3 linked regions of the Medicago truncatula genome follow. The protein of the gene in region 2 binds, or shares a complex with, the protein of the main gene of each other region. Links are inferred from orthologs where the notes say so. Each region holds a gene or a part of one and is shown on either strand. Other genes may lie near its edges. The genes, in order: actin-related protein 2/3 complex subunit 3, actin-related protein 2/3 complex subunit 2B and actin-related protein 2.

Evidence for each region.
Region 1: actin-related protein 2/3 complex subunit 2B (region 2) and actin-related protein 2/3 complex subunit 3 share a complex: the UniProt entries of both Arabidopsis thaliana proteins name them as parts of the arp2/3 complex. The link is inferred for Medicago truncatula from reciprocal best matches to the Arabidopsis thaliana genes arpc2b and ARPC3.
Region 3: actin-related protein 2/3 complex subunit 2B (region 2) and actin-related protein 2 share a complex: the UniProt entries of both Arabidopsis thaliana proteins name them as parts of the arp2/3 complex. The link is inferred for Medicago truncatula from reciprocal best matches to the Arabidopsis thaliana genes arpc2b and ARP2.

The regions. Positions count from the first base shown.
Region 1 is NC_053045.1:56,009,642-56,020,385, forward strand, and holds actin-related protein 2/3 complex subunit 3, read right to left. Parts: upstream 4,898-10,744; 5' UTR 4,622-4,897; coding exon 4,619-4,621; intron 4,531-4,618; coding exon 4,422-4,530; intron 4,334-4,421; coding exon 4,064-4,333; intron 2,642-4,063; coding exon of another isoform or gene 2,595-2,641; exon of another isoform or gene 2,269-2,594; intron 2,054-2,268; coding exon 1,911-2,053; 3' UTR 1,571-1,910; downstream 1-1,570. Other genes in the region: nucleolin, read right to left, coding at 345-458; monogalactosyldiacylglycerol synthase 2, chloroplastic, read right to left, coding at 8,694-8,951, 9,039-9,113, 9,345-9,407, 9,498-9,722, 9,806-9,947, 10,045-10,206, 10,523-10,695. UniProt on the Arabidopsis thaliana protein: Functions as a component of the Arp2/3 complex which is involved in regulation of actin polymerization and together with an activating nucleation-promoting factor (NPF) mediates the formation of branched actin networks.
Region 2 is NC_053042.1:17,367,597-17,378,306, reverse strand, and holds the start of actin-related protein 2/3 complex subunit 2B, read left to right. Parts: upstream 1-6,441; 5' UTR 6,442-6,533; coding exon 6,534-6,592; intron 6,593-8,004; coding exon 8,005-8,071; intron 8,072-8,288; coding exon 8,289-8,493; intron 8,494-8,951; coding exon 8,952-9,118; intron 9,119-9,941; coding exon 9,942-10,019; intron 10,020-10,102; coding exon 10,103-10,235; intron 10,236-10,678; coding exon 10,679-10,710. Other genes in the region: protein FAR1-RELATED SEQUENCE 5-like, read right to left, coding at 1-691. UniProt on the Arabidopsis thaliana protein: Functions as actin-binding component of the Arp2/3 complex which is involved in regulation of actin polymerization and together with an activating nucleation-promoting factor (NPF) mediates the formation of branched actin networks.
Region 3 is NC_053048.1:9,627,752-9,638,113, reverse strand, and holds the start of actin-related protein 2, read left to right. Parts: upstream 1-6,306; 5' UTR 6,307-6,432; coding exon 6,433-6,474; intron 6,475-6,682; coding exon 6,683-6,793; intron 6,794-9,681; coding exon 9,682-9,816; intron 9,817-9,905; coding exon 9,906-9,977; intron 9,978-10,053; coding exon 10,054-10,132; intron 10,133-10,362. UniProt on the Arabidopsis thaliana protein: Functions as ATP-binding component of the Arp2/3 complex which is involved in regulation of actin polymerization and together with an activating nucleation-promoting factor (NPF) mediates the formation of branched actin networks.

The sequences.
Region 1 (10,744 bases), on a different chromosome or scaffold from region 2:
CCCATCGTTTATTTATCCTAAATCCAAAATATTTAGCCTAAACCACTCCATCCTTAGTAGAAACAAAGCATCTGATATTATATTTAATCATGACAAACAGCATCAAGGGCAAACAATTTTAGTCGCATTCAATATAATTACATAAATCACAACAGTGAAGAATCATCACAGTTAATTAGAAGCAAAAAAAAATGCTAACAAACGGAACCATCGAGTGGTATCATCTAACAAGGCACAGAGTTCAAAGCAGAAAACCTAATTCCCACAACATGCTTACAGAGTAAACTGGATAAAATGCAAAGTAAAATTAAAAGATTGTAATTAAAGGGGAAAATGAGAAATACGAGAGCGAGAGATTGAGCGGCGGAAACAAGAGTGTCGATGGCGACAGCTTGGAGGAGAGAGGGGAGGTCGACGACGGAGAGAATTGGAAGGTGAGATTGGGTTGACACAGCCATTGCCGAAAGAGAGAGAGAGCGAGAGAGGAGTCAACAACAATAGGTTTGGTGTTGAATTGAATTGATGATTAGAAAGAGTAAACCCTGGACTCAACTCAACTCACGTACTCCACCGTTTTAGGGTTTTGACGAACTAACTTGGACTTGCTGCTATATTGCCTTTGCACCCCCTATTTATTTACTTCCACGCCTCTTCTTTTTATTTTTTTCACAATTTTACGTTTCAAAATTACATTATTATATTAGGTGTATTTCTTATTTTATTTCGTATGATTCATCACATAAAATTTATTTTTTATGGTTATAACGAAACCTTATGAAATACACTTAAAAAAATAGATTTACATTTTGTCGTTTTCCCGATTTTCACTTATATTTTCGTTATTATCAAGTATTTTTTTTCTTATAAGGACAGATGCATTTGCTTATTTAATACAAATCAAGAAAGCTATAGAAATGTTTTAAATACAGAACAAGAAAAGTACTTTAAGCAAATTAACTTTAAAAATTAAAGTCACTTCTAAATAAATGTTTTAAAGTCACTTAAAGAATATAGTACTTTTATCAAATATTATCTGTGATGGTAATGTTTTAAAGTCACTTCTAAAGATGGAACAAAATAAAAGTCACTCTAAAATTATATGTTTTTTATATATTATAAAAAAAGAAATTCTTTTCCACCAAAAATATAACTTCAAAAAAAAAAAAAAACGCAATTTTCTCCTAACCGAAAGTACACTTTAATACGTTTGGTTTTTTTAGAAAGAGTGTAAAGTTGCTTTGCAAAAACCAGTTTGAGCTCTAATAAAATAGCATCAAAATATCCCCGTGAGTTAAACTCAGTTGGTAGAGATATTGCATATTATATGCAGGGGTCGGGGTTCGAACCCCAGACACTCCACTTCTCCACAATTAAATTGTGTGAGCTCTAACCACTAGGCTACTTAACAAAAAAAAAAAAATAGCTATCAAATTTAACAACCGCGAAGAATTAGTATTCTGAAAAATGAAATAAAAGAAAACTTTTCTTTTTTACAGAAGTAAAATAAATCTTGAAGCTTGAAGGTATAGTAGTGAACATTAATGCATACTATATAATACTGGAGATACAATGAAGCAGTAGTATAGATGATGCAATTCTGCTATAACTTCATGGACAATACAACAGCTAAACATGACCAGCACCACCGGCACAAGCAAAGGTTAGGGTTATAGCCCAATTATGATCACTCACTTCAGCATGAGGAGCAAAGTAGACGTGAAAACGATTGCCATTATGAATTCTACCTAGCTAGCAGTAGTTGAGGATTTTCAAAATAAAATATTCAAAACAGATAAGCAACATGCCCCTCAAGAATTATTATATTTTTTTATTGGTAGATCAATAGTGTTGAAGTGTATTTTTGACAGCTTAATCTATGATTCAAGCAATTACATATTTGCCAAAACAGTTCAACGGGTGATTACATTCATGAATTTCCTTTTTGCAAATGCCAACCACCATTTATTTGGAGTGCCATTAGGTCTGTATGCAACGCTTAGTAACCTTCCGCTTGTTTCTTCCCTTATCTGCTTCAAATAATTTCTAAACAATTCTGCATTTGTTGAAATCACAAAGCTTACATATAAGACTACATGTGTTCTACAAACAAGTTAATTGAATTGCAATAATGCATCAACCAGATTGAACACAACAACAATATTCAAGTTCAATGTCCTCTCAAAACAACAAAAAATCAAGTTCATTGTAAGCCAGCATGTGGAGTACAGTCAGCTATCTCAATATGTATACAATTTTCCAATCAAACTATCATGTAAAGAAATGCAATTGCATCAAGAAACATTGGTTACAGTCACATTTAATAGAAAACCAAAAGCTAAAATGTACAGTTCAATCATCGATAGATCATCAGCTAGTTGCATAAATAAGTAAAAATGCACTCGGCTTGACTCTACAGAAAGGCTCAAAGACAAAAATATAAGAGGAAATAAGAAACCTTAATATACTGGTATAAGTACATTCTGAAAATTCATTTCACATGCAAAAAGAAATACAACTGAAGTTTTCATTCTCAGGAGCTTTCACTATAAGGGAAGTACAAATTGTACTCTATCGTGGGAAAAATTTATCATCCTCTATTTCTTGCAGTTGAAATCCAAACACCCAGTCCACCTAAGGACCACTGCAAAATTTACAACATCCAGATTATGTAACCCAATTAGAAATTGTTCAATTATTTAAAATGAACCTCTCTCTTTCTGAACAAGAGTTTCCAGACTTGAGTATTTAATTAGAAGTCTCATGAGTCATGACCAATGCCGACGCATCAGCATTTGGCACCGACACATGCCCATCTAGCTTCATTCCGGTGTTATGCATAATATCCTTTTTTATTTTTTTGAAAACTCGGTATTTGGCCCAAGGACTGACTAATCCAAGGGGTTCATACAAGGAATTGTTGTCATGTATTTTCCTATTATCAACCCAACCAACCATTGATATTTAGATACGATGTGTTATCATTCAAACAAAAGTCGCAAATGAGACACACTTGGCCATTCTGTTGATTTAAAGGGAATTAGGTGGTAAATGTAAAGATTTTATCAAATTTTCAGTAAGAAATTAAATGAAAAAACTCGAAGTTCTAATACAATTGATAATACAATAGAACATAACACATCACAATATTAGATGATTAATTAAAGAGTACTGTAAATACTCAATTTGGTCCTTGAAATTGTAGGATTGTACCAATCTAATCCCTCACATTATCGATATTCCAAAATGGCCCCTGAAATTACAAAATTTCATCAAATCTGTCCCATTGTTGTTATTTGTAGGGACTAGAATGACATTAAGTTGGTAATATCAAGAAGGATTTTGGAACTAAGTGAATAATGTCAGGGATGCATTTGATAGTATATACGGAAGAACGAAGTTGAGTAACATTTTACAATTTCAGGGATCAGTTAGGAATATTGATTATGTGAAGGACTAGGTTGATAAAGTCTTGCAATTTCAATGACCAACTTGGGTATTTACTCACTAATTACAGTAATCATATGCATATCTAACCATAAAATACAAGGAATGGTTGTTGTCTATTTTCCTAGTGTCAACCGAAGCAAGTAGTGATACAGTATATTATCATTCAAACAAAAGCCATGCAACGAGACATAAGCACACTCAGCCACTCATTTAATCACGTGATTTAAAGTAGGAAAATGCTTATTGCTACAAGAGAAGGTTTACAATAAACACAAGAATACTATGTAATTCTTCCTAATAATAACCACCCACTCCCCAATGTATGGTCAGCCAAAACCTGATCGTTCAAATCTCCTATTTTTAGGAATTCTTTTTTTTTTTTTTTTTTGTATAAATCCTTCGTAACAAATAGCATTTCTCTATAAAGTATATTAAGGTAGCAAATGTAAAGATTCTATCAAATCATCAAAACCATCAGTAAGAAACTGAATGAAATAAATACAAGTTCGAAGACAATTGAAACTACTTAACAAAATACAACTAATGATACAATATAACATAACACATTGCAACATTAGATCGCTAAATAAACTAAGCATATGTGTGGAATAGGTACCTGCTTCTTTGTGTGATTGAGGAAGAGGGAAAAGTCCTGGAAAAGGAAAACCAGACTCTCCAGGAACAGGAACATTTTCAAGACCCAAATTGATAATTGCTTTGGTTCCTTCAGCCAAAGTTCTACAACCTTCAAGCTTCTTGAGAGCAACATTGATGTAAAAAGTCAAGTATATTAGAAGCTTATCAGCAGGACTCTTGATATCAAAGTTTCTGAAGAACACATTGGCTCTGAAGAATGTGATTGCTTCATCCACAATATCAGTTCTATCTACCATTCACAACAAACAAAATACATATTTCACATTCTGAAAAACGCAGAAAACAAAAAACAATGAATTGAAAAGGAAAAGGAAAACCTTGATCTGAAACAGGAGCTGGACCCTTAATGTGACTTTTTAGAGGAAGAAGAGGGCACCCACAAGCTCTGTTAATTCCTTCATCGTCTACGAAACTAGAGTGATAAACCTTAATTCATACATAAACAAACAATTAATTTAATTGGGAATCAAAATTAGGGTATTATTAGGAATAAGAATGAAATGAATTGACGTACCATGTTTCTATGTGGTGATGATAACAAGAAGGTTAGGTGAGAACTCAAAGAATTGAATTGAAACCCACCAAATGTTTGTGGAAATGTGAAAGAAACAATACAGGCACGTAAATAGTATGCACTTGTTTGGGATTTCGATGATAAGTTTGATTAAAACAAATTGTGCAGAGCTTGAAGTGAAGAATTATTGGGACATCGAATGAAATCGGGATTGTCAACACGTAAACTTTGGTAAAATCGGATCTGAGTAGTTTATTCATTTCTTTATGGGAAATGTTAACCCTCGCTCATAAAGCACCAACTTAATAAGTTAAAAATAAAAAAAATTCTTAGAACTCGTGTATTTAATGATGTAAAAAGTTTAAGAAATATATTTTTAATATAAAATTAATTTATTAATTCTTTTTTTTTTCCTTAACTTATGTCTAAGGCACAAGTTTTATTTATGGGTAGAGTTATTCTTCTATCTCTTAAGACTAAATAAATATTGCTTGAACATATACATATAAAAGATTATCTTCAAAATATTCAATTGTTTTTTTATCAATATCATTTATATTATTAAAAATATATTTTTTATATATGTATGTTCAAACACTATTTATCTGATCTTGTGACCATATTAGAATTCATCTTGGTCTTTGTGCTCTATAAATAAAAACCATTTTTTTTTACTATTAATACATTGAGTGCACACTTGTGTGACAAAAAAAATTTGTTGTGGAGTAGTCTAATAGTTAGACTCACAGTAAAAATTGAAAGTTTAGGATTTAAATTTGACCCTTGTATTTTAATGTTCATGGAACTATCAACTAAACTGCACTTAAAAAACGATTTTTAAAAACATTGAATATTGAATATATTTTCCATTATTTATTAAATTAACTCAAAGATGTGCTACTCATGTAGGGTAAATTAATTTTATTACTATTAGAATAAACATATTAATCAAACAATCAAGTCAGATAGTTAATTAATGAACTTCGCTGATGACAAATTGTTAAGAAGAATTTGAATTTGTTTAGTTTTTTGTGTAACAATTCTTGTTGACCTTTATTTATCTCCATACGAACTCCGAATTACAAAATTCATTCTTCTAGAGATGATGTGGAGGGTTAACACACAAAAAAAAATACCATCTTGTATAGTTGCATATATCAAATTCATATTTAAATATTAAATTTATATAGTTTATGGACAAAATTCGAGAGATAGTGATGGTTTTTCAAAAGTAAATTAATAATTTATTCTTATTAATGTTGAACGGATGTTTGATGATACACAAGTTCTAACTTAACTGGCAAAATATCGAAATTGTTAAGTCGGATACCATAAAAAATTAACCAAAAAAAAAACAAATGTTTGATGTGGCCTGGACTACCTAAAACTCAAATTCATTTGGCCAATTGAAACCTTCTTTGCACTCATAATGCAAGTAGGATTTGGATATAACGCACTTACTACGGGACATAGTAGTTATATATTTTGCACCGTTCGATTTAAAATGAACAGTTAAGATCTAACATTGTGTGACACTATTGAAAATTGTGCTATGAATTTGAAACCGTCATAACATAGATCGATGGCTGACCTTTGCTATTACGGCAAATGGTGTGAATTTGCTACCACAATAATTTCAGGTCCAATGCAAGCATGGCCCCAATATTACCTTCTTGACAGGTAATATTTTGCCTTGCAGCGCAAGTTGCCACAAAATTCACATTGGATATATTATCTTTTTAACGGTTGCCCTCACGCAACATACTAAGAAAGGGGAACATCAAGAGAATTATTAATTTTTGTCTATGTTTATGAGTGATGATGACGAATAGCTAATCAGCCTAAATGCCAAGATTGCTGACTTCACATGCTTCTTTTATAAACAATACAAATTATTTTCTTAATAATAAAAATATCTGTCAAACTTTTCTTTTGATGGTTTTGACCATCAACTTGTTTTGAACTCCCTTGTATTATTTCACTTATAAGGCATGGTTAGTGTTTATTGTTTCATCCAAGGTACCAAATTTTTTTAGGACCAACCCTGTATTCAACTCACTTTACTAAAATCAAATTTAAAAAATTAAAATTTTATAAGGTAGAATCAAAAGTGCACAAAACCATCAATGTCGAATCGTTGACGGTGATTTAGCATAAAATAAATAACCAATATATGAGTTAATTTATTAACTCGTTAACTTTAACCACGTGGTTGGATGGAGTGGGTAATGAGTATATCGAATCGGTAGAACTGAGTTCAAATTTTGATCAAAGAATAATCTTTATTTTGACTTTACTTATAACTCATAAATACAATCCAAATGATGAAAGGTTGTGGGGATACTTGATATATTGGATGGAACAAATGTTTAAACTTGCAATGCTCACTTTCTCCGCAGGCGGATGTGATGTGAGATTTACCATTAAGCTTTTTGATAAGATAGTAGGACACATTTATGGACCTATAAACATGTGAGTTTTGTTGCTAAGCTTTTTGTAAAGAACAAAAATTTGAGCTATAAACATGCTATGTTCTTATGAAGAAATATGAAATCGACACAAAAGTTGACGCCAACACACGCTTTTCATTTTTATATTTATTGAATGTATTTTATAGACTTTGTTTGCGTCCGAATAATATACATCTGATTTTCATTTTCCAGATATTTATGTTTCTTAATCCAGATGTTGCTTATACATCTTCGTGGTCATCGTGTGTGAGTATTAAAATACGTCGCATTCAACAAAAATAAATATACTATTGGCCACTTGGGAATTTTGAGGTAGAGAAAAACATTAGAAATATTGGAAGTACTACACATTACGAACTTTATGTGACATCAACACCAAGAATCATTTTCCAAATTCAATTCATTAGTTCCAAATCCTAGTGGTGGCAAAGTTAAAATAATAACCACGGTTTCCTTGCTATATATGCTGTAGAATTTTACCTTATTTTTTGGCTTTATCTTACTCAACATGGCATATATATCTAAAAAAATAATATATGATCAAGTGCAAGCGGAAATACAGTTTAAAACAACAGTGCTATTTTGTCTCACTCAATCAATGTATGTGTTTTCGCATGATAACAATCTGTCACCAACTAACAGTTGACAATAAACACCTGTAATAAGTAGTGGTTTACTAGTAAGCAATATATATTTCTGGTTTTTTTGCTTCATTTTCTAAGATAGTATTTCAAAGGTTTTTCAAGGATCAACAACTACCAGTCCTTTGGTCGCATGTTATCTAACAGCTTTCTACACCCTGTTCTGTTTTGCTTTTTTTGCAGTTGCTGGTAGTTCTGATACTCATGATACGTGTCACTTTAAACAGAACAATAAAGTATAAACTTGTGTGATTGTGTTTGGTAAAATTGAAATCTATATTAATGGACATACTATAGCTTAAAAGAGTGTCAACTTTACCCTTCTTTTTCACTGTTATATTTTCATCTTCATAAGAAATGCGGCAAATTCAAAAAGGGCAACACTTATATGCAATGTATGTTCTTTATGTTCCTGCATTTAAGTTTTGTCCATTCAAATATCCAAGCAAAATACGTTGATTTCTTTGCTTATGCTCAAATTGTCTTTGGTCATGCCTTTAAAGTCTCAAAGCTAAGACTGTAAGGATATATAAAATATAATCACCTTATGTTACACTTTGTTATTGACATTAAGCAACCTTATAACTGCAAACTATTCAGGTTTTGAAGGTAAGAATTGATATGACATGCTTCTTAAAGATATCTTGTACTGCGGAATAGCTGAAAACTTGTACTCTTTAAGGTATAGAGTTCCAAGGAGAAGAAAAACCTGATATACACACTAGAATGCGAAACCATGTCACAGTTACAAGACAAACCCATCTTCTCCCACAAATATCCTAAATAAATCCCAGTCTCCTAAAACAATGGCCTGTTTACCAGATTTTTAGCTTATGATGATACTAAAAGCAAGCCACTATACGGTAAAGAATGATGTAACTTGAAGAATTCACTATACATGTCAATTCTAAAAATAAAATAAAATAAAAAACTAAGGTGAAAGATGAACCGATAAACAATCAATTAGATTATGCTAGTAAATGATGAGGTCAACTCGTAAGGAAAGTTCCCCGGCTCGCGTTGCTTAGCAAGTTCATGAATGTCCCTCACGATGTTAAACACAGCCTCAGGGTTCGCTAATTTAAGCGCATTCTCTGACATTGTCTTTAGTTCGTCCTGTTTTGTCGTGAACCATCCTGCAACAATTCGCGCTGTTTCCTTAGGACTGCGAGTGAAGACACCAGCTCCATTGTTTACCACATAAGGCACATTACCCTTTTCCTGTAGTTACCATAGTAGCTCAGAATCAATATAAGGTTGGAATGAGAAAGTAAGAAATACAATGACGGGAATAATTTAATAACTCGCCTGTCCAGGGATATAGTCGTTGAGGATTATAGGAAGACCTCTGATCAATGCTTCTGCAATTGTTCCTGGTCCAGCCTGAAATTTCACAGAATCAATAAGCATATGCTAGCATATAAAGTAACATATAAAAGCAGGGTTTTTAAGTCGCGTTTTCTGATATTGCATATAATTGCAATCATATGTGACTGATACAGACTCAAACGCAAAAAGACGTCAAAAACTATAAAGTTGCAGCCTGTATCATCACCTTTGGACCTTTTTTTAAAACCCTGCATGAAATCATTAGAGGAAATCGGTATAACTTACTTTTGATATGATGCAGTCACATGCTCCCATCCATTTGGCCATAATTGTCTCAAATCCTCTAACCTAGACAAACAAAGAAACATTAACATTTTTTCAGTGGCTGTCTTCCTATTATGCTCACTTGTAGATAATTGTTCCCTCATTAGTTATTACCTTCACTGGTATTTTCCATTCGATAGCTTCCACAGAAGCTACTAAGTTCTTATTGCGACCGCATATGACTACAATCTGCCCGATTGGTTTCTCATTTTCTTTATCATATAGTGATTCTGCTAGAGCCTTTGCAGTTTTCTTGACCGGACCCATTCCTTCACCACCTCCCATCAGTAAAACCGCTGGCAAGTCAGGATCCATCTTAAGTTCTTTTCTTAGTTCATCCTACAATAAACAGAAACTCAGTTCCACTGTTCCATCAATGAGATCAAAACAGAACTTACTTACACCTTAAATATGCTTAATACCTTAACAAGAACTGCACGAGCAAAAGAAGGCCGGATTGGCAAGCCATAAGTTCGGGTTTGAGATTCCTCAAGTCCCTCTAGTAAGGCTTTTTTTGCCACTTCCTCTGACGAGCAGTAACATCTATTCACCCAAGGATGAAACCTGCAAAAAGCTTAAAAATTTGAGTACTTAAGCATTAATTAATCGACTTGACATTAAGGCAAGAAAAACAACCAGTTACCATGAAGCATGAACTTACCAAGTAGGATGGCAGGTACTAAGGTCTGTAATAACAGTGACAAAAATAACTTTCTTTTCCAAACCTTGCCACTTCAAAACCCATAGTGGAATATGTTGCATCATGGGATGGACGCTGATTATAATATCTGGCTTGTATTCCATCAACCCTGCCTCCACCTCTCTGAAAATTACAGTACAATGACAGTTTGTCAATCAGAAAACACCACTTATGATTACATAAACATAAAATGTCTAATTAAGTCAACAATAGATGTTCCAGCATATCATGTTACTCATATACACATGACATCAACTGTTTAGTTGATATTTATTTGTTTAAAATGAATTTCTCCAAAGATGTCAAATCAAATAATTGTTGCTGTTTAACAAAGCAATAAAGAATGATTATTATAGAAATTATCAACAAATGAATAGTGAGCAAAGTGAAATAATCATAATTAATCATGAAAGTATAAAGCATTACAAGAGGAATATACCTTGCATAGTAGGCAGCGACGGCAGCCAAGTAGACAGAGTGAATCCATTTAGGGGAAGTGCTATGAAACGCAACCTTCCATAACTGAACATGCTTAACCATGAATTTATATTGACCTTCCATATCATTCAATGGCCACCCTGTATACTCCTTCCATACATCTTTAACAAATATCTGAAATTTCAAAATTAGCATACAAACATAAACATAAACATAAACATAA
Region 2 (10,710 bases):
AAACAACATCACCAAAATAACTGTAATCAACCAGCATCCTAGCATCTGCCCAAAACACATTGGTGATTTGATCTTCAATATCTAGCTGATAAGCATGGTAGAAAGTTGGATTTCCTACCGTCTTTCTTTGAAAGTATTGCAATAAATAGCCGGCCTCCCCTTGTACCAAACTTCTTTCTCTTTTTTTCCGAAGATAATTCTTTTGATCAAGACGTATAAAACCCAAGTTAGTTCTGCCTCCTACTTCTTTACTCAATAAATCAAACGATTTCTTTTGTTGTACACCGACACTATCAGCTAGTTCAATTTGTTGACAATGAATTTCAGAAACCTTTCGTTGAGACGACAACATATGAGTTGTTTCTGGCAAAAGTAACTCGTGGTTGTGGTCCTCCACAAAATCATGCACCATCAATTTTCCATCCACATTCTTAAGTCCTAACCTTGTTTCACAATTTGTTCTGGTCTCTAGTCTTGGATTCTTTGTTTTATAATCTCGCTTGTCTGGCTTTCGCATGCCTTCTTTGCAGCAAACAAACCTACAAGAAGAAACTGAACCATCCTTTTTTCTGTGTGTATAATCTTTCCTCACTCCGAATCCAACCTTACCACCGTAAGTGTTCCAGAACTCCCAAGCATCTTCAAAGCTACAGAAAACCATATCTACTTTTGGCTTCCAATCTTCATTCATCTTGTATCAAAAGTCTTAAAAATTCCTAAAAACAAAAAATGTATATCTTATTTGCGGTAGCCAAATGTATACCTTATTTAATTATAAATGAGTATAAACAATCTAAATTATCATCGTAAAAGAGTATATATAACTCACAAAAGAAACAATTATACATGAATATAAACAATCTAAATTAACGTAAAAGAGTATATATAACTCACAAAAGAAACATATATATAATATTTAATGTATCACATTTTAAAATCAATTCTCAACTCTGTTGGTTAGTTTTTTGTAATCATAAAAGTGAATGAGGACAAACATGTGAAATAATTTGTTTCTTATATAAGTAATGAGGACAAGCAAGTGAAAAATATTACAAGTAAAAGAAATGGATCAACATATGAAATTAGTTATGACCAATGGAGAAAAAACAATAGACGTACCTGAGATTTGAGACAATCGAAAAAGTAAATAAGGGCAATTGAATATTAGTGTTCTTTGTGTTTTGGCACAAGCTAGTTAGTTTTTGCAGCAACAATGAATAACTTCCCTGGTAGAAACAAAATAACGCGCACACGACATGATGTAATTGGGCAGTTTTCATATTTTTATTATTATTTATTTTAATTATTTATTTATTTAATCCAATGGCTCAAATTTAGCAGTAGACATTGCAGCAGAAGATACTGCAGCTGAGGATCCAAATCCAAAAAGACAGCATAGTGTGGTTACATTACAGGTTATGGTAGGTCCTTTCATCCTGCATGACACCATTGAATTCTTAACGTCTTTCCTTATTTAAGAAAGTTTGTTTTGGAACGTTGCTAAGTAGAATCTGAAACTTGTTCATAATTGATGAGAAATACATACACAATCATAAATAAAATGTATTTGAGCACACACATAAAATACTAATCATTTCATCTTTTAAAATAACAAAATAGATAAATGTTTATTTCTTTATTTTTTTTTATTTGTGTGAGTGTATACAAATAAAATTATTTGTGGTTATAACTAAGTAAGTATTTCTCATAATTAAATTTGATCACGGGTTTTATTATATTGGGTTTATTACCTATTCAAGGAATTTTTTTTTCCAGACCAAAACAAAACGATATTCATTCATTCAAATCGATAGATTACATCATATACAAACATCACTAAAAACGTAAATGGTAAATCTGCAAACAAACTCACAGCACCCAAGTTAATAGCATAAAACGGCAAAATGCCTACAAATAATATGATAAAACCTAAGTCACTGAAATTCACATGATTCCGGATCTTCAACCTTGACGCTCAAATTATTGGTTGAATTCAAGGATATAAGTTGTTAACTAAGGCTGCAATTTTTTACTTAGATCTGTATTTAAAGAAATATTTTTTTACATGTAAAGAAATCCATGATGTATGGTTAGCTATCATCTTCTTCATGATTACTATTATTATTAGAGTAAATTACGGTTATCTTCCTTGAAACATAGAGAGATATTACACTCTACTGTCTTGTTATTTAAAACACACTCCATTCCTTTTTTTTATATTACAAAGTGGGCTTAATTAAGGCCTTACAAATAAGAAAACTACACCGAAATTAAATGAGAAAATAGCTTTTCTCACATGTGTAATTGTTTAAAAACACATGGAATTTACGGAATTATCTTCAACGGTAGTTAACCACCGTTTTATTATTTCAACGATAGTTAACTGCAGTTTAAAGTTGGCTTCAACGGTAGTTAACTACCGTTCTTCTAGCAGTAGTTAACTACCGTTGTTATCAGTAACGTAGACAACGCATTCTGCATTATAAAACCAAGTCATTTTCGGTATGTTATAACTTGTAATTAAGAATGACAATCCAAGAGGAAGTAAAACCAATACTATATCAAGTCATAAACAACAAAATTACATAACTTTTCATGATTCAATGAGATTAAATCAATTCGACATCACGTGAACATTACACGAATGATTGAAATTCAACAAAAGTGGTTGCATTAGGCAACACATTACCCAACAATACACTCTGTCAAAAAAAAAAAAAACATTACACAACAATACACAAATAAAGTTAAAAGCCCACAAAATGACATCAAATCTCTACTCACAATCTAGACAGTTGCAATTGAAACGAACATAGAGATATAATATAACACATTAATATTTTCGACCAATGACCTAAACATAAAATCTTCGTCACTGTTGTTACAAATAACCCGATAAGAATAAAATGTATTCTACATGTCTTTATCTTTATCCACCCTAAACATCACAATTTTTGAAGATGAAATAATGGTTGGGGAAAAATCGTAAAAAAATGAAAATAGAGAAGCCAAAATATTAAGTTTAAAAATGGAGCAATCAATCTTATTAAAATGGTTTGTCAAAAAAAAAAAATCTTATTAAAATGGTAAAATAGAAGGGGAAAAAGTTCAATTAAGCTAAGTAAAAATATGTCAAGATATACTTTTATATTTCAATAATTTGTCTACAAATATAATTTAGGGTTAAATATGTTTTTAGTCCCTATAAATATTCCAACATTTTGTTTTAGTCCCTCTAAAATTTTCCTTCAACTTTTAGTCCCTATAATATTTTCAATCACTACTTTTAGTCCCTATTTTTAAATTAATTTTAGTATTTTTTTAATTAAATTATGCAGAAATGTGTAGAATATTGTAAAAATATTTCCCAAAAAAAATTAGAATTTTTTAACAAAACATAAATTTAATATGAATTTTTAACCATCAAAAATATAAAAATTCATATTAAATTCATGTTTTGTTAAAAAATTCTAAATTTTTTTAGGAGAGATTCTTATAATATTATGAATTTTTCTTCAAACTTTTATTTAAAAATGTGAATTCTACATATGAGTTTACTTTAAAAGAGGGATCAAAAGTGAAGATGGAAAATTTTTGGAGGACTAAAAGTTGAAGGAAAATTTTAGAGGGGCTAAAACGAAAAAATTGGTATATTTATAGGGACCAAAAACATATTTAACCCTATAATTTATAGCAATTTCTCATTTAATTAAATATAAATAACGATTTAAAAAAGATTTTTTTTTATATATCATTGTTGATGTCTTTTTTCTTGACAATTCATTCTTTCTTGATGTTATAAGGCTATTTTGATTTTGAGCAATGATATTTGAACAACCATTTGCTAACAATTTCTATGACAACCTCCTTTTTCTCTCTTTTCATTGGTCAAAAACAATGGAGAGAGAAAAAGAAAGAGAGAGAGTAAGAATATAATTTGAGTATGAGAGTGAAAGTTGTCTAAAAGTTGTTAAAAAATAATTGTACAAATATCATTTCTCTTAGTTTTTATTTTCTCATTTAATAGCGACAGAAGAATGGTGTGGTGTTGTTATCATCATCCTTTTTGCGACAAACTATCATTTTCAGCATAAAAAGTGGGGTTCATACGTTGTGCAATGAGAGGAACCCTTCTGGCTTCTTTTGCACTGACCTAAAAGGTAATCCACTGAACATGGACGCAAGATTCCTATACTGCATTAAATGATTAAATGACAAGATTCTTACATTTCAATAATATGTAACAAATATTTTCTTAGGTCACACACCTCTATGTCTGGTGTGAGAGGTAGCAAAGAAAATATGAGCGTTGTCTTGTGGTTGAGTAGAGGAGTGTTATTTGAAGAATTAATTTGGTGACAACTTATTTGACAATTAAAATTTACAAAGAAAAAGTAGTATTGACACGGAAATCATAGCAATAGAAAGATAAAGTAAAAAATAATGTGAGTATGAGAGAGAAAGTTGTCACAATAATTATCACCAAATGAATGTTCAAATATCATTTCTCAGTTAGTAATTGTTTACAATTCAATTGTATGTTTGATGTTCTCTATTTTAAATCTAATTTTAAACTTTTTGTTTGGAAACTTTACTTGTTTAGTTAAATAGTAGTCTCTGTTTCGGTCACATTTATAAATAATTTTTATTTTTTAAAATTTATTAAATAATTGATATATCTAAAATATAATATATGATATATCTAAAATATAATATAGTCCAGATACATAATTTATTTAATGAATCTGAAAAAAATAAAAATTGTTTATAATGTAACCAAGAAAGTAGTTAAGATATTAATCACAATTTTTTTTACTCTATTACACTATACACTTTTGTCACAATTTCGTAAAATCTTAATTAAAATTGATATTAAGAACTATAAAAAAAAAATACAATTATTTTTTTAGTCTATTATTAATCATTTCAACGAAATTAAAAAAAAATATGCATTTATATTATTATCGTAAATAACTGAACTGTAGGAAATTGAATAGTAAACATTTTCAAAATCCATTTGGGATTGACCTAATGTTTGGTTTGGGATCTTGAAGGTTACTCTTCTTAAGGTCTCATATAATGCAAGATAGAATCCCCGCATGGGCAGAATGATTGATCCCCTCAAAATAGTCGATTCTTGGATCGGATATCAAGTTTAAAAAAAAAAAAAAAACAAAATAAGATATATGTGATTAAAAAAAAAGGAAAAATATGTAATAGAGAGAGAGTACTATTAATTAATTTACTTTTATTTTGTTTCAAGGTCAATCTAATGTGGTTCAAGTAAGTTTGTAAGAAGCTACTCTACGTATGTGGTAGAATTATCGGGGAGTGTTGGAAGGCTTGCAATTAGCTTGGATGCGTGTGGTAGAAGTGGAGATTTAGAGGATTCAACAGTTGTTAAAAAAAGCATGTGTGGATCCCCATGAGTTTAGCTCATTTGGTAAGGGATAATGTGCAGGGGTTGAGGTTCGAACCCCGGACACCTAACTTATTCATCTTTAAGGTGAATTTCTCTAGCCACTAGGTTACTTGACCAAAAAAAAAAAAAAAAGCATGTGTGGAATTGCATTTCGGTTTTGTTTTTGTTAACTTTAACGAGCCGTTGTCTCATAAATCCTACCTCAATTGTTAGACCGATGATTGGGGTTCGAACCTCGGTACCTCCATCTTGTATATATGAGTTTACGATGGTTTTACCATTTCTTCTATCTACCAAAAAAAAAAATTAACGACCCGTTGAAATCTATTTATATAAAATATTTTCTAAAAAAATATGTTAAAAAAGCTTGTGATTGTCTCTAAAATTATCAATACTATATTAATTAGTTTCTTGAACTAAAAAATTTGTAATTGAATCTCTATATATATTTAAATAATTGTTTTATTCTTTCAAAAAAAAAAAAATTGTTTTATTACGATTTATAATAATTTACAGTTAGTTACATGAACTTAGGACAAATTAATATAAAGGGTTAATAGTGTTTTTCACCCTTATAATATATGTCATTTCTTGTTTTCGCCCCTATTAAATTTTCGGTTTGATTTGCACCCTCGTAAAATTTTTATTTTCCGGAAAACACCTCTAATAGGCCATTTTTCAAAAAAAATTTCAAGAAATTTTGGTTTTTGAATGGCCTATTAAGGGTGTTTTTCGGAAAATAAAAATTTTACGAGGGTGCAAATCAAACCGAAAATTTTATAGAGGCAAAAACCGAAAATGACATATATTACAGGGGTAAAAAACACTATTAACTCTAATATAAATGAAGGAGTCGAATAGAAGGGAAAATGACACAAAAAAAAAAAAAAAAAAAAAAAAAAGCAAATGAAAAAGAATGTTGAGTGGAAGAGGGTGGCTATGAGGATTTGCTTCAAAGATTACCAAACATGATTACAACACCGAACTTGCATTTCACTCAAACTTCATAATCAAAAAACAGTTGAGAATTTCATATTGTATATAGTTCATAATAAACAATAAAATGTGTATTAACACAGTTTGAGAAGAGAAAGAAGACAGTTTTATCAGAATGGCATGCATTGAGAGATCATCTCCTGCTCTAAAACAAATATTGCTCAAGCTTTATCGGTAAGTGTTTACATTATACTTGTTCATTCATGGTTTAGTATTTAAAAAATAAAAATAAAAGTCAAGGTTTAGTTGTTTAAATTTGTAATTTATTTGTGTTCTTTTCTTTTTGTTTATTATATCTAGCCTCTTTGTTTTGGCTTAAGAAAGAGAGAAAGATAAAAGAATTTAAATTTAAGATTAATAAAATGTGGAACATAAGAATAAAGTATTTTTCAATGAAGAATAAAGTTGTTTATTATATCTATCGTTTTGAAATATAGATATAGCCGTATTTAATTTATAGAGGAATGAGAAAGTTGTTTTTGTTCTAAAGTAAGAAGATGCTCTTCTATGTACGTGATAAATTATTGTTTAAATCTTAGTTGGAATTTTTTAATAAGTCAAAAGAATGTATCAATACTCAAATTTGAAGTACAATATAGGCTAAGAAAAATAAAAATGTTATATCATGAAAAGTCAAACAAAACAACTCAAAACTTAAGAAGCACGCAACACCCAAAACCAAACAATAATTAAATTAGGATTTTTTTTTAAGGAAGCAATTCAATGCATTTCATTAGTATTATATGAGGCTCACTACCAAAAAAAATAATATTATATAAGGTTATTTGAACTAACTAGTGAACAACCTCATTAGCTTGCCTTCTATTAATCTCGGCATGAGAGTTTTGAAATCTATTTTAAAACAACTGTCTACATGTATCTACTATACAACCAAATTCACTATTATCGTTTACATCTGTTCTAAAAGCATCCACACCCTTTTTATACTCTAATGCAAAATCTATGTTATCAAATTGAAGATTTGATGTATACTCCAAAATTGTTATCAAACCAACTGCTTCCCCTATATCAACATCACATAAGAGAAGAGAACTAAGATATTTTTGCAAGCACTAAACTAAGAAAATATTTATATGGTCACAATGATTTAGACACAACATTTGAGTACACACTTAATTGTGTTAAAATACACATTTTTTAATTCTTTTCTATTTTTTTTTAAATATGTGAGCGTGTCTAAATATCGTGCTCAAATGGTTGTGTGACCATTGGAGAAATCCTCACAAAACAAACACACCACCCCTATCACCATCCAAAGCACCAACATAACACTAGTCATTAAACACAAACTCCTAATCAAACAAGTGATTTAGACTACCAAGAAAAATATTTGGTTGATTACAAGTATTTAGACAGTTCACTTGGGCGTGCCCACATATTTAAGAAAAGATAGAAAAATGAATAATTAAATATGTATTTTTCAAATAGTTAATTGATAAATATCTTTAGGTATGTGCCTAAATGTCAGCATCAATGCTCAAATTAGAATAAGATGGATAGTTGATTTGTTGCAATGCTTCATTTAGAAAATGTTGCTGAAATGCTTATTCATCACTTTATTACAGTGCTGAGAAGTCTATAGAGATTGATCATCACTTATACGAATTTGGATCAGTGGAATACCACATTCAGGTGAAACTCTCCTCCACTCACTTATACGAGTTTGATATTTGATCTACTAATGGCTACTTGATAATTTTTGCAATGTTTCTTTTCCGACCCTGCACTTCTCAAAGGCCTCTGGTTGGTCTGAATTATCTGGACCAACCAGACGGCTCTGAGAAATGAGGGGCTGAGAAAAGAAATTCGCTTCAGTTTAAAGTTTGATAATTTTTCTCTTACTTTACAGTCTCAAGCCACTAATCCACTGGTGGCTTACTTGTCAATATCAACACCACCGCTTTACCATGGAAACCTACCAAATAATCTTTCACCATACACCATTGAAATGGTGAAGGGAATTTGTCCCAACCTTGTGGAGATTGAAGAACCTGCTAGAGAAGGATACCAGCTTACTCTAAAGCTTAACCTAGATCAGATTCCAAGAAACAAAGGTTTGTTTGCCTTAATTAACTTTCAGTGGTTGGGTTGCATAATAATTACTTGTTAAAAAGCAAGACCAATGATAATCATGACATTGCATAATAAAAATTTATATGCATTAGTGCTTCTAAGTTTTCATTTTGTAAACTTGCAAAGTGATGTTTGATGATGTAGTTTTGTTTCAAATGAGAATTAACTAGTGAATTGAAAATTATGTTAATTAGACCGTGTTTGGTTTCACGGTTGGACGGCTCAAAACTAAAGACATCATTTATACTCAACAGACTATTTCATGAGCTGTGCAGAATTGATAATATTGCTACATTTGTGTTCAACTAATGCCCTTTAAAAGCTTAGTGGATTCAGATAATTTTGGGTCTATAGTCTATACAGCTTGCTAATGTTTGATTTTCACATCAGCTAAGTTGAAATTTTAACCTGTCTGATGATGAAAAATTCTTGTTTCCAGACTATGTCAAGGTCATTGAGGATATTTCCACAGTTCAATCAGTAATTATAAGTTCACAGCTGAAAGAAATATTGTGTAATGTGAATTCTGATGATGCATCTCAGGGGATGTACAAACCCATCAAACTAGTTTATCATCCAAGAGAACCCTTCTTTGTCATCAGGCAGGTAATTTCTATGTAATCAAAGCTTTGAACTTGTCATAAAAAAGTCATGTTTGGATAAGAGACTTAATTATCCTATAAGAGCTTATCATATAAGTGTTTATGTATAACTTATTTCGATAACAAAAGATAAAATAAAGTGGAATTGTTTTTACAAAAACTTTAAGATGTTATCATAAGCTATCATGGAGAGCTTATATAAATAAGCTAAAAACAACTTATGGACATGTCATAAACTATTTCTAATTTCTACAAGTCCTCTCAAATAGTCTCACAACTGTTTTTGTCAGTAGGTAAACTCAAATAAGTGATTCTAAACAGACTTCTGAATAAAATGAACAAGATTACCATTATATGGAATGATATCATACAAACAACCTAAAACATTATTATTAATCATCAAAGTGACACTAATAGTCATTTTACAACGGTCTCCAAGGGGATTCGAACTACATCCCATAAAGTTATAGGTCAAACCCTTACCACTGGCTTGACACTGTAAACTTGTGAGGACCAACATGAAATGATGATATTGATACTGTAAACTTGTGAGGCATCACATCATCAATCAATTATTTCAACTTGGAGTAAGTTACTGATTCTAAATAAATCACAGTTTGAGTAGTCAACAAAACTATTTATGAAAATCTATTCCTTTTATATTTTGTAGGTGTTTAGAAAATATTTCCGAATTTAGTTACATTCCAGCAAAAAATGATACACTAGTAACCAAAGACAGCTCACCATTGTATTTGGTCAGCAAAAGTTGTTCATATTCTAATGCCTTACAAGTTACTGATTCAATATTGATCATATACTGCATACAGCAACAGAGAATCATAGCAATATTCCCAATTCGTTTCAAAGAAAAGTTCGACGTCGTTATTGCCACGGCTTTCTTTCAGGTTTGCAGCTAAGAAATCAAAAATATGTAATCTAGTTTCAACCCAATATACTCTCAGCTCACTTGTTTTACTACCTATGATAGGAGCTCGTGGATGTTGGAAATTCAGATAAATGGGTAAAGACACCACCTTGCACCTGGTCAGCCATTCCTCCACCAGAGTTGACAGGAGAAGCTTTAGAGGATTTGAGTACAAATGGAGGGTTTGTCTCTTTTGGTATACTATTTTCTTTCAGCAATTACTCCATGAACTACTTCTCTACAAGCGATAACTTGATTACATGATCATAGTTTTGAACTCTAAGAATCTGATTGGACTGACTTATTTGAACTTATATACCAACATAAGTACTTGTGAGACTATTTGAGAGAGCTTATGGAAACAACTTACGACATTTTCATAAACTTTCCAGAATAGCTAATGAAAACAGCTTATAGCTTATGTGTATAAAAAATTGATTTTATTTTACCATTTTTTGTAGAAATGACTTATACATAAGCACTTATATGATAAGTATTTATATTACAAGAGCATATCAAGCCGTTTATCCAAACAGGACCTAAAATCAAATAAAATGAGATCGAGACAAGAAATGTTGAGGAAGATGGATTCCAAGACATCCGCGAAGTTATTAACATTTTTCTTTTGGTATTTTGTAGATATCTCTTCTCGGCATATTGAAGGCAATAGG
Region 3 (10,362 bases), on a different chromosome or scaffold from region 2:
ATTCTCAATATTTTATTGCGTTAATTGTCGTAGATTATCAACGATATTTTATAGAAATTTTACGTGTAAACTACAAACGATATTTTATATAAAAAAAAATTTATGTAGATAAAATTTATAAATATAGATATAGATATTTAAAAATTTTAAGTATAAATATAGATATTTGTTACTTTCAAATGTAACAAACTCAAGAAACCATATTTATATTTTTCAAAGACAATGTCAAACTCAGCTAGCGTGTTTTAGATTCATTTTTTCTCTTTCTCAAACACTTTTTGAAATAAATTAACTAAACAATAAATCAACATTGTAATTGTTAGTGTTGCACATATATGTCAAAAAAACTGTTATTGTTGCATATCTAAGAAGAGGACTGTTGGACTATTCAACATTTTTTAACTCCCTTTTCATTTGTTTCTTTGTTATAAAAGTTAGTTTTCACTACTTAATTTTTCCATTCACATTTCACCTCTTTTTAATTTTTTCTTCTATACATTTTATTTGCAAATAAACCCCAATCATCGTGATTTTTGGTCAATTTAATGCAAAATTTAGCAATTCTCCATGTATCTCAAGTCAACAAAATGTCTCATCCTTTGAAAATGCATCCAATGTCCTAAATACACAAAATAATCAAGACTTTGAAATTACCCATATCATACATCACCTTATCCCATCAAGAATTTTCTTCTAAATCAAATAATCTCAATATGCCTCATGTGATTCAAATGGGTAGTGGTGGTGTGCAATTAAAAGATCAAGAGCTTGAAATACCACATGTTTGCACTCAAGGTGGCTTTGAAACTATTAACCTTAATAAAGAAATTGAAACTATATCGATTGTGAATAATTCGAAAGTAAGATTTCAACGAAAGGAGGATGGACTTCCCATTCAATTATGACTCAATATTTCAAAGGATCCGAATGTTAAAAATGATCAAAAAGGACAGTTTTTGGAAGAGAATTGATGAAGCTTATAATAACCATCACGACAAGAATTTTCAAGATAGGAAACCAATGAAGCTAAAAGGTTGATGGCACAAAAAGATTAATCCCTCTGTTCAAAAGTTTGTTGGATGCTACAAAGATGTTGTCGCTATAAAAAAAGCGGTAGCTGCAAGATCGACACAATTTCAGCTGCAAATGTTTTTTGTTTGACTTATATTGAAAAAAGAATTCTATATTTACAATACATGAAAAAATATTGCAAAACTACCCTACTTTTTATCTTTTCCATTGTTCCCCGCTAACCTCGCTTGAGTGGTATATTTCCCAGTTGTTTTCACTTGTGGGTATAGCACAACAAGCCTGAAATTTGTTTTTTTTTCTTCTATTTATGGGCCCCTACAAAACTTACTTGCAGGGTGTAGAAGGTTGTTTTTCTTATTTGATCTACTATTGATACTTTCAACAGTGTCACATATTCCGTGTACTACATCCTAATTCATGACAAGTGAGTTTCTAATATCTTCAAGAGGGATGATATATATACCACCCCATGTGACAATACACCTTTTACATCCACACAAAATTCTGACATGCGGCAACTTAAACCCCACACAAATAGAAGATAAAATGTGGTTGTGAGATGAACTTACCAAAATATCTCTAATGCATGGGTGTACAATAGGATATAGGAATAAAGGGTGTTCATGTAACATTTTCCTATCTCCAAATTCAACATAATTACACTGTTCGAAATAACAATTCTTCACACTCTAATAGTAATATCACACTACAGTATCAAACTCTAATAACTCTAAAAAACACACTACAATTTCAAACTCTAATAACTCAATTTAATAACTCGTAACATTAAACTCACAATCGACATATTAATTTATCTATCAACCTTTCACCTGAAAATTTATGCATAAATACCACTTTTTTACTCACAATATTCACTTAAGTTACCGCTCTCAAACTCTTATTTTTACACTCAATATTCTCATATTACCCGTCTTCTCAATTATTTCTTAAACAATGAATTATTTATGGTTAGGAGATAATCATAGGTCTAGGCCACAACACCTTAGATAATGGGTAAAATTATATTTTTAAATCTCTTTTATTTTGTTTTTTATTGTTTTAATAATTTTTTCTATTCTCTTATTTTTTTTAAATTTCGTTTTTGATATTATGTTGCTTATTAAATTCAGTTTTATATTCGGTTAATAATTATGTAATATTTTTTTTATTATGTTTATTTTAACCTTTTTCTTATATGCTCCCTCCGTTTTTGTTATTTTGATGTTTTAGAACTTCAACTATATTCCAAAATATTTAATGTTTTAGTATATGTAATATTTTTTTTTCAAATTTACCCTTGTTGAAAAAGACACCATAAAATTATTAAAGGAGTTGTGACCTTTGATTTATCACATGTGAATTTAATTATAATAAGGACATTTTAGTCCAAAACATACAAATATTTATGTACTTTAATTACTTCTTAAGATTTGTACCAAGAGCTAAAACATCAAAAGATAAAAAATAGAGGGAGTATCTCTTTATTTATTTTTATTAGGATGAAAGCAACAAACATTTCAACTTCTCATCTACAAAAACACAAAGAACCAGTCTACTAATTTTAGGGTGTGTTTGGCCCAGTTTTTTGAAAGTCTAGAAGCTACTTTAAAACTAAAGTTGCTAAAAAAACTTTATAAATTAAGTTAAAGTTGATTGGTAGTATCTATTTGACAAAATTATACAATTTATCTTTTAATTTAATTTCAGTTAACATTTTTGTCCCTTAATTTTTTTATTTAATCATTTATGTTATAAAATATCAACATCACGATCCTTCCTTTATTAAAAAGATTAAAACTAAAAAAAAAAAATCATAAGCAAACTCATATCTTCATCACACAAACCTATAAATCTAGATTTCATTGAAAAATCCTTATAATGAAAAATCAAAGAAAAAAAGAATGAAAAAAGATGAAAATATGTTTATATTGTTGGAATGCTGAGTTGATTATAATGAGAGAATATTTTTTAGGAATTCTAGTTTTCTTTTTGTAAAAAAAGTATAACGATATTGATTTTATAACATTAGGGAAATGAACTGATATATAAAATAAAATTTGCTTGAATAATAGATAAATTGAAGTAAACTTGGACCGTCATAATATTCCTCAAGGCTTAGAAGCCCTCTAGAAGGACTCAAACGCCCTCCGGACGGGCCCAAAGACCCTCCAGAAGGCTCCTTGGGCTTAGGCGCGTCCTCCTGAAGGATGCCGCCTTCTTCAGCTTCTAGAAACCACCCAAAGTACCTAAATACCCATGTTGCTTGGAAACCAAGCAACAAGAGCCCAAGCCCACAGCATGCTATAAATACCACTCTTGAGATCATTCTCAAGGATCGGATAATCAGTCTAAACCCTAGTTTACGATTCTTAACCCTAGAATCTCTTATTGTGCTTTTTGCAAGTACAAAACTATCCCGCAAAAAAAATTGAATAAACTGGGTGATATGTGAGTAATACATATGTAGGGAATTATTAGTAAAATAATAATACAAAATTGTCTTTACCAGGGTTCGAAGATGGAAGCACATGTAAATGAAGCGCATAAGTTGATACAAAGTTCCTTTCAATTCCTTTAATTGAAGCTCCTATAATTAAATTTTTCTTCTTTGAAAATAATTTACTTGTTTTAGGAAGAGCTTCTCCCAAATGTTGTTTGCCCCTACTTCTTCTTTAAAGTAGAAGGGAAGTCAAGAAAAGGCAGGCCAAACAGACTCTTAGACCAAGCAGGTTTTCTCCATGTTAGCAACATAAAAGAGTACAAAATGGATAGACATATCCTAAATGCTCTAGTTGAAAGATGGAGACCCGAAACACACACGTTTCATTTTCCAACGGGTGAATGCACCATCACCTTGGAAGATGTATTCATGTTACTTGGTCTAAATGTTAGTGGATATGTCGTTACAGGTGTAAAATCAATTGAGAGGCCACTGTATGATGATTTTTTGGGATTAAAATTCCATTGCGAAATAAAAAAGAGGGTAAACATGCTATATCAATGTCACATTTAGCACAAAATCTCAATAAAGACCTCATTGCCGATGTGTTGGATAAAATAAAAATACAAGTTACTAGGCGGTATATTCTATGGCTAATCAATGGTTTTTTATTTTCAAATTTATCTGGAATAATGTACATAATTGTTGGTTGGCCATGGTAGTTGATTTTAATGATACAAAACAATATAGATGGGGATTAGTCGTTTTGGCCTATCTTTATCGGGGAATGTGTGAAGCAACAAACCCTAAATTTGTATGCTTAGCTGGCTGTAATTTTCTCCTGCAAGTTTGGGGATATTCAAGGTTGGATTATTTGGCTCCCAAAAACATAAAAGAACTTAGTTTTCCATTTGGAACAAAGTGAGTATATTGTTATTATGTTTTTAGTAGTATTTGTTCACATTTGAGAATGCATAGAGATTACTAAAAGATGAACCCAAGTACATATTTGTCATCTTCTAACCCACAGACACCAACAAGCGAATACAATCCACCATCACGTGAAATTGGTCAAAAATCAGCCAAAAGGAAGGAAAATGAAAAGATTGTGCATATATCTATTCCTAAATTTGATGCTTTGAAAAATGACTTGAACAAAAAATTTGAATTAATGTCAAGGTTTGCGCGTGATTTTGCACGTACTGAGAGTGAAAAAGTTGAGAGAGAGATGAAAATGGTTGATGTAGAGCTACACAAGACTGAGAATGATAGGGAAATGATGAAGATCATGATTTAACAATACTCTAAAAGGATGTATCAAATAGGAATACAAGGTAATTACAAGATTATGAATTTTTGTGTGGCATGATTAGACATAAATATGAACTTAATTGATATTATTATTTATGTTAGACTTAATCGATTAGAGGGATATTATAATTTTTAGTATATGATTAGCAATTTCTATGTATGTTGTACTTAATTATTATTTATGTTTTATTAATTTATATTTTTATAGTTTTAGTATATGAAATATAAAAAAAGCTTCAAGAAATATGAGCAGCATATTGCAGTCAATGTGTAAGACTAATTATAGTATACGCAGGAACGAAATAAAATGAAATATTGCAACCAATTAAAGTATAAACCATATTATAGTATTTGAGACGTGTATTGTATATAAACCCTATTACACTATTTAAAATCATGAATTTTAGTTGAACTAGCTGTTATTCAAACTCAATTTTAGTCAAACTAGCAGTTACAAACTAACCGTTACTCAAAATAGCCGTTATTCAAACTAGCAGTTATTCATATCCCTATACATGTTATAACATATATAACAAACTTCACAATCGTTTCCAATTTCATTCCCTTAAAAAAAACATTTTCAACTTCTCTCTTTATTCACATTCAATATCAAACTTCTCTTCATATGGATCCTTCCAATCCATCCCATGTTGCAAAAATATTCATGGATTATATGAATGACAACATGGATGAAGACCTTGTGAGGATTTACTTTGAAAGTAATACACAAGAAGAGTTTGTGAGCTCAAGTAGGTCCAGACGCCAAAGAAGAAACATAGAAATCATGAAGAAGGACATGAACAGTTATTCAATGATTATTTTTTAGAAGCTCTAGTTTACACGGATGAGCAATTTCGTCGAAGGTACCGAATGCGTAAACATGTTTTCCTTCACATAGTTGAAACTCTTGATCAACATGATGAGTATTTTCAGCTGAGGGTTGACGCACCGGGTAGATCAAATATTTCACCCATAAAAAAATGCACTGATGTTATTTGTATGTTGGCAGATGAAACATCTGCTGATAGTGTGGATGACTATTTGAGAAATGGTGAAACCACGACACGAAAATGTGCTGATAAGTTTACAAGGGGAAAACCGTCTCAATGCTGCAAAGAGAAAAGAGAATATTGTTTGCCCAATATCAAGAAGGCTCAAGGAAGGATATCTACACAGACTCACCATTGGATTAGAACAATTAAGTTTGAATCTGATAAAAAAACTAGGCAGGAGACAAGGGCATAGTGAGAGTAACATCCAAAAATTGCTTCTCTTCCCTCTTTCTTCGCACATGAACGAAGTAGAAAAAATAGGTGGGACCCATAGTACTTTTATCTCTCTCCCTAATTTCTCTTTTGCACCAAATGAGAGAAAAATCATTCTTCTCTCCTTATTCTCTCTTGCCTATTTCATACCTACCAAACAGACCATTACTGTTTCATGTTTTTGCAGTATTAAACCTTCAAAAAAAAAAAAAAAAGTTTTTGCAGTATTAAGAAATGAAACGACAAAGTAGTGAAGTCGTTTAATCAACTTCCACTGACTAGACATTCTAACAAAGAGTCCCCACCCACCCCCCAACCGTGCTTGCTGCTCACATCTCCGCGCGAACTCAAACTGAAACCCAATTCTACCGATCGCACCTCATCATGGACAGCAAAAACGTCGTCGTTTGCGACAACGGAACCGGAGTACCTCTCTCTCTCTCTCTCTCTTCAATCTCTTCATTCATTTCAAAATCAAACTACATTTCAATGGATCCAATAAATTACCGATCTCAAATTAGCATCAAACTTTATACATTTCATTATTTAACACTTTATGTTTCTTCTACTTATAATGTAATTGTTTTATTTATTTAATTCATCATTTATTTTGTGTTTCTATTTAAAATTTCAGTATGTGAAGTGTGGTTTTGCTGGTGAGAATTTCCCGACTTCTGTTTTTCCTTGTGTGGTGGGGAGGCCAATGCTCCGATACGAAGAATCGCTTACCGAGCAAGAGCTAAAGGTATGCAAAACATGATTACTAAGTTTTTTCAATTATGATATGTATGTAACTTGTTTGATCTATGAGATCAAATGTGGTTGTTATTATTATTATTATGAATTTCAATGTTCTTAGTTATTAGTGATTTTCCATTCCTAGTTGTTGAGAGTCACACATTGATTAGAGGTAGTGGTTATAAACCATTTTTGTGGGATGAGTTAGACACTATTTGGATTGACTTATTTGAGCTTATCTACTGATATAAGTTTTCTGAGACTGTTTGGGAGAATTTACGAAGGAGACTGTAGATACTGTAGTTACAAGAGTAGATCAGAAGAGGTTGAGGAAGACCTAGGAAAACTATAAGAGAAACTTTTAGGAAAAATTTAGAGGTTAATGAGTTGGATCCAAATATGGTTTATGATACAACATTATGGCGTAATTTGATCCATGTAGCTGACCCCACTTAGTGGGATAAGGCTTCGTTGTTGTTGTTGTTTGGGAAAATTTATGAAAACAACTTATGACAATTTTCCCAAGTTCTCATATGTTGCTTATTAAAACAACTTATAGCATATAAAAAAGAATTTAACATCATTTTATTTTTTTCTATAAAAGTAGCTTATGCAAGCTTATACATAAGCGATTATCATGATAAATGTTTGCGCTATAAGCTGCAAATAAGCTGTTTATCCAAACAGGCCCTAAGCCTAAACTGTAAGATGATATAAGAGCTTATTCCAGATTTGTTGTTGGTCCAAGATCTCTGTATAGAAGAAGATTATTATTTTTATTGAATAACAATAGAATGACAATAAAATAAAAAAGATTTATTTTTATTCATAATAGGATCCCAACAAAAGCGAACCTCGCACATAGGCAAGTTTTACCACCGGAGAGCTCTTTACACTGTGTGATGGGGTGCTAGAGTCGGCCAGCCATTTGTTCCTACATTGTTCTTTTGCGATGAAAGTGTGGGATGAAGTTAAGAGATGGCTGGGTTTTCATTATGCGACTCCACCTAATTTATTCTTTCTTTGGGATTGTTGGGATAGAGTTTCGACCAACAAAAATATCCGGAAAGGTTTGAGGATGATTTGACATGCGGGGGTGTGGAGTATTTGGAGGGCCCGAAACGACATAATTTTCAACAACTCGATTGGTGAAGTGGAGGAGGTAATGAAGGATGTAAAGGTTCTGTCGTGGAGATGGTGTTTAAGTCGGTTGCAAGGGCCGGCGTGGTTGTTCTATGAGTGGCACTGGAATCCAAAAGCATGTCTGCTGCGTTAGGGGCGCTGTGTTTTCGAGGCTGAGGCTGTGGTATGCGGTGCCTGCGGTTAGGTTGCTGTCAGTAATGGATATAACAGCATAAGCTTTGTTGGGATGCAGCATGTTTTCGGCTGCTGTCATTTGTTTTAGCAAGACTAGGTTTTTTGGGCTGATATTGGTGCTGTGTTTTTGGGGTTTTCCGGTATGTCGGTGACCTTGTATTATTGTTTTTCTGTCCGCGAGTTTGTTGTGCATCTTGTACACTCTCGACGTGAATAAATTTTGCTGATTCTAAATAAAAAAAACTCGTAGGGTGTGAAGTAGGAGGAAGAGTAACTTATACCATCAATGACAATGTTAAAGAGTGAGAAGAAGAATCACAGAGAGAGAATTGGGATAGAAAAGGAGTGAATTCACTTCATAAATCATCCATTCCTTGGTTTCACATTCCCCTCTCAATTCAAACAATCTCTCAGCCATGAGTTTAGCTTTGCCTTTGCCCACCTCTCACCTCCTAATTTTCATGACTTCCTCTAGCCTAATTTTGATTCCTTGTAATTGCCTTGCTGTCGATTTCCTTCAGCTATCGATCCACCATTCTCTAATCGACTTGCCTTTGCTGGCAGTTTCATTGCACTATGTTATTCTACGTGCATTTGTCCACATTTCAAATGTCGGTTTTTGGGGTTTAGTTAAATCCTAATTTCAAATTCTAAGATGATATTAGAGTCTAATTCATATCTTTTATTAGGCCAAGAATTTTCCACTTGCACACAGTATTGTTAAATGGCAGCATGGCGGAATGGCGTGGTGGAATTTTTGAAAACTGCCATGGATAGTTTGCGCAGGAATGCCCACCACAGGCCAACTGCTTGCTTATGTGGCGAACTTTTGGCCTTTCGTTTATTCCATTATCCGCCATCGAAAACACTGCCTGCAATTTTCCATGCTCCAAATGTCGATTTGTGGGCGTGAGAATGTAATAGAAATCTACAAGTGGAAATGAACAATGGGAAAGTATTTGAAGGGAATTGATTGTATTTTATTGATTGAAATGATGAACTCAGTTAAAAATAAGTATCCCTAAACTGCCAAGAGCAATGCTCCTTACAGAGTGATTCTCTCTGTCCAATATAAAATGTAACTCATTCTTTCGATACCCTTCTTACTCCCTACTGCTCCCATGTATTCGGAACTACCAGCACCTCATGCTCATGCGCTTGACAATTCTGTTACACAAGTTTCCAGCTCAGCTTTTCCATTTTCTCTCTTATTCTTCCTCTAATAGACCCTCCACACAGTCGGCCTCACATTTGGGCCTGCAGATAAATGCACTTCCGTATCAGAACGTATCCCCATTATTCCACCCACAGTAATCCACACTTTAGAATTCAAATGTCCATTTCTAAACTTAAGGGAGTGTGTTGAAAATATCGCCTATAGATATGTCCTAGGTAGTGTTTATAATGCTTTGCTTAGGTTGTTTTTGTCTTACTAGTCAGTTTTGCATTGTTGAATTAGGCCTTAAGCCTAGACATCATAAACAATTACATATACACTTAATTACCCGTTTTTAAGATGTTGCTCGGGTCTCTGTGAGATTTATTATTTATTTACTATTTAAATTATGTTCTATTTAGGATATTGTTGTTGGCGAAGGATGTGCAGACCTGCGGCATCAGCTTGATATATCTTATCCTGTGAACAATGGAATCGTCCAAAACTGGGATGACATGTGTCATGTGTGGGATCATGCATTTTACAACGAATTAAAAGTAACCTTCTGGTGCTTCTTTCTCATTGCTCTTTCAACTGTGAATATTTGATTTCGTAGCTAACTCTGGTACACGATTTTTCTTGACAGATTAACCCACAAGACTGTAAGATTCTACTCACTGATCCGCCTCTTAATCCCTCAAAGAATCGCGAAAAAATGGTTTGTGGGCCAATCTTGTTACCTTTTGCTAATTTGTTTTTTGCATAGTAATTGTTTATGTGATTTGACCTGGCAGGTGGAGACAATGTTTGAGAAGTACAACTTTGCTGGAGTGTTTATCCAAATCCAAGCTGTTCTAACATTATATGCTCAAGGTGCTTATAGAGATGAGTGAAGGTTGATGTTTTGTTGTTTATTCACCTCATCCTAATTAGTTTACACCTCATAATTGCTATTACTCATTCTTGGAAACTACAAACTCTAATTATAACGTATTTACAAACCTTTGATATTTTATAATGCATTATGATTTTGTTTTATAAACCATATGCAGCAATGTTATATATCCTAATTTGCAAGGCTTTGAAATAGGGCTAATTCGCGC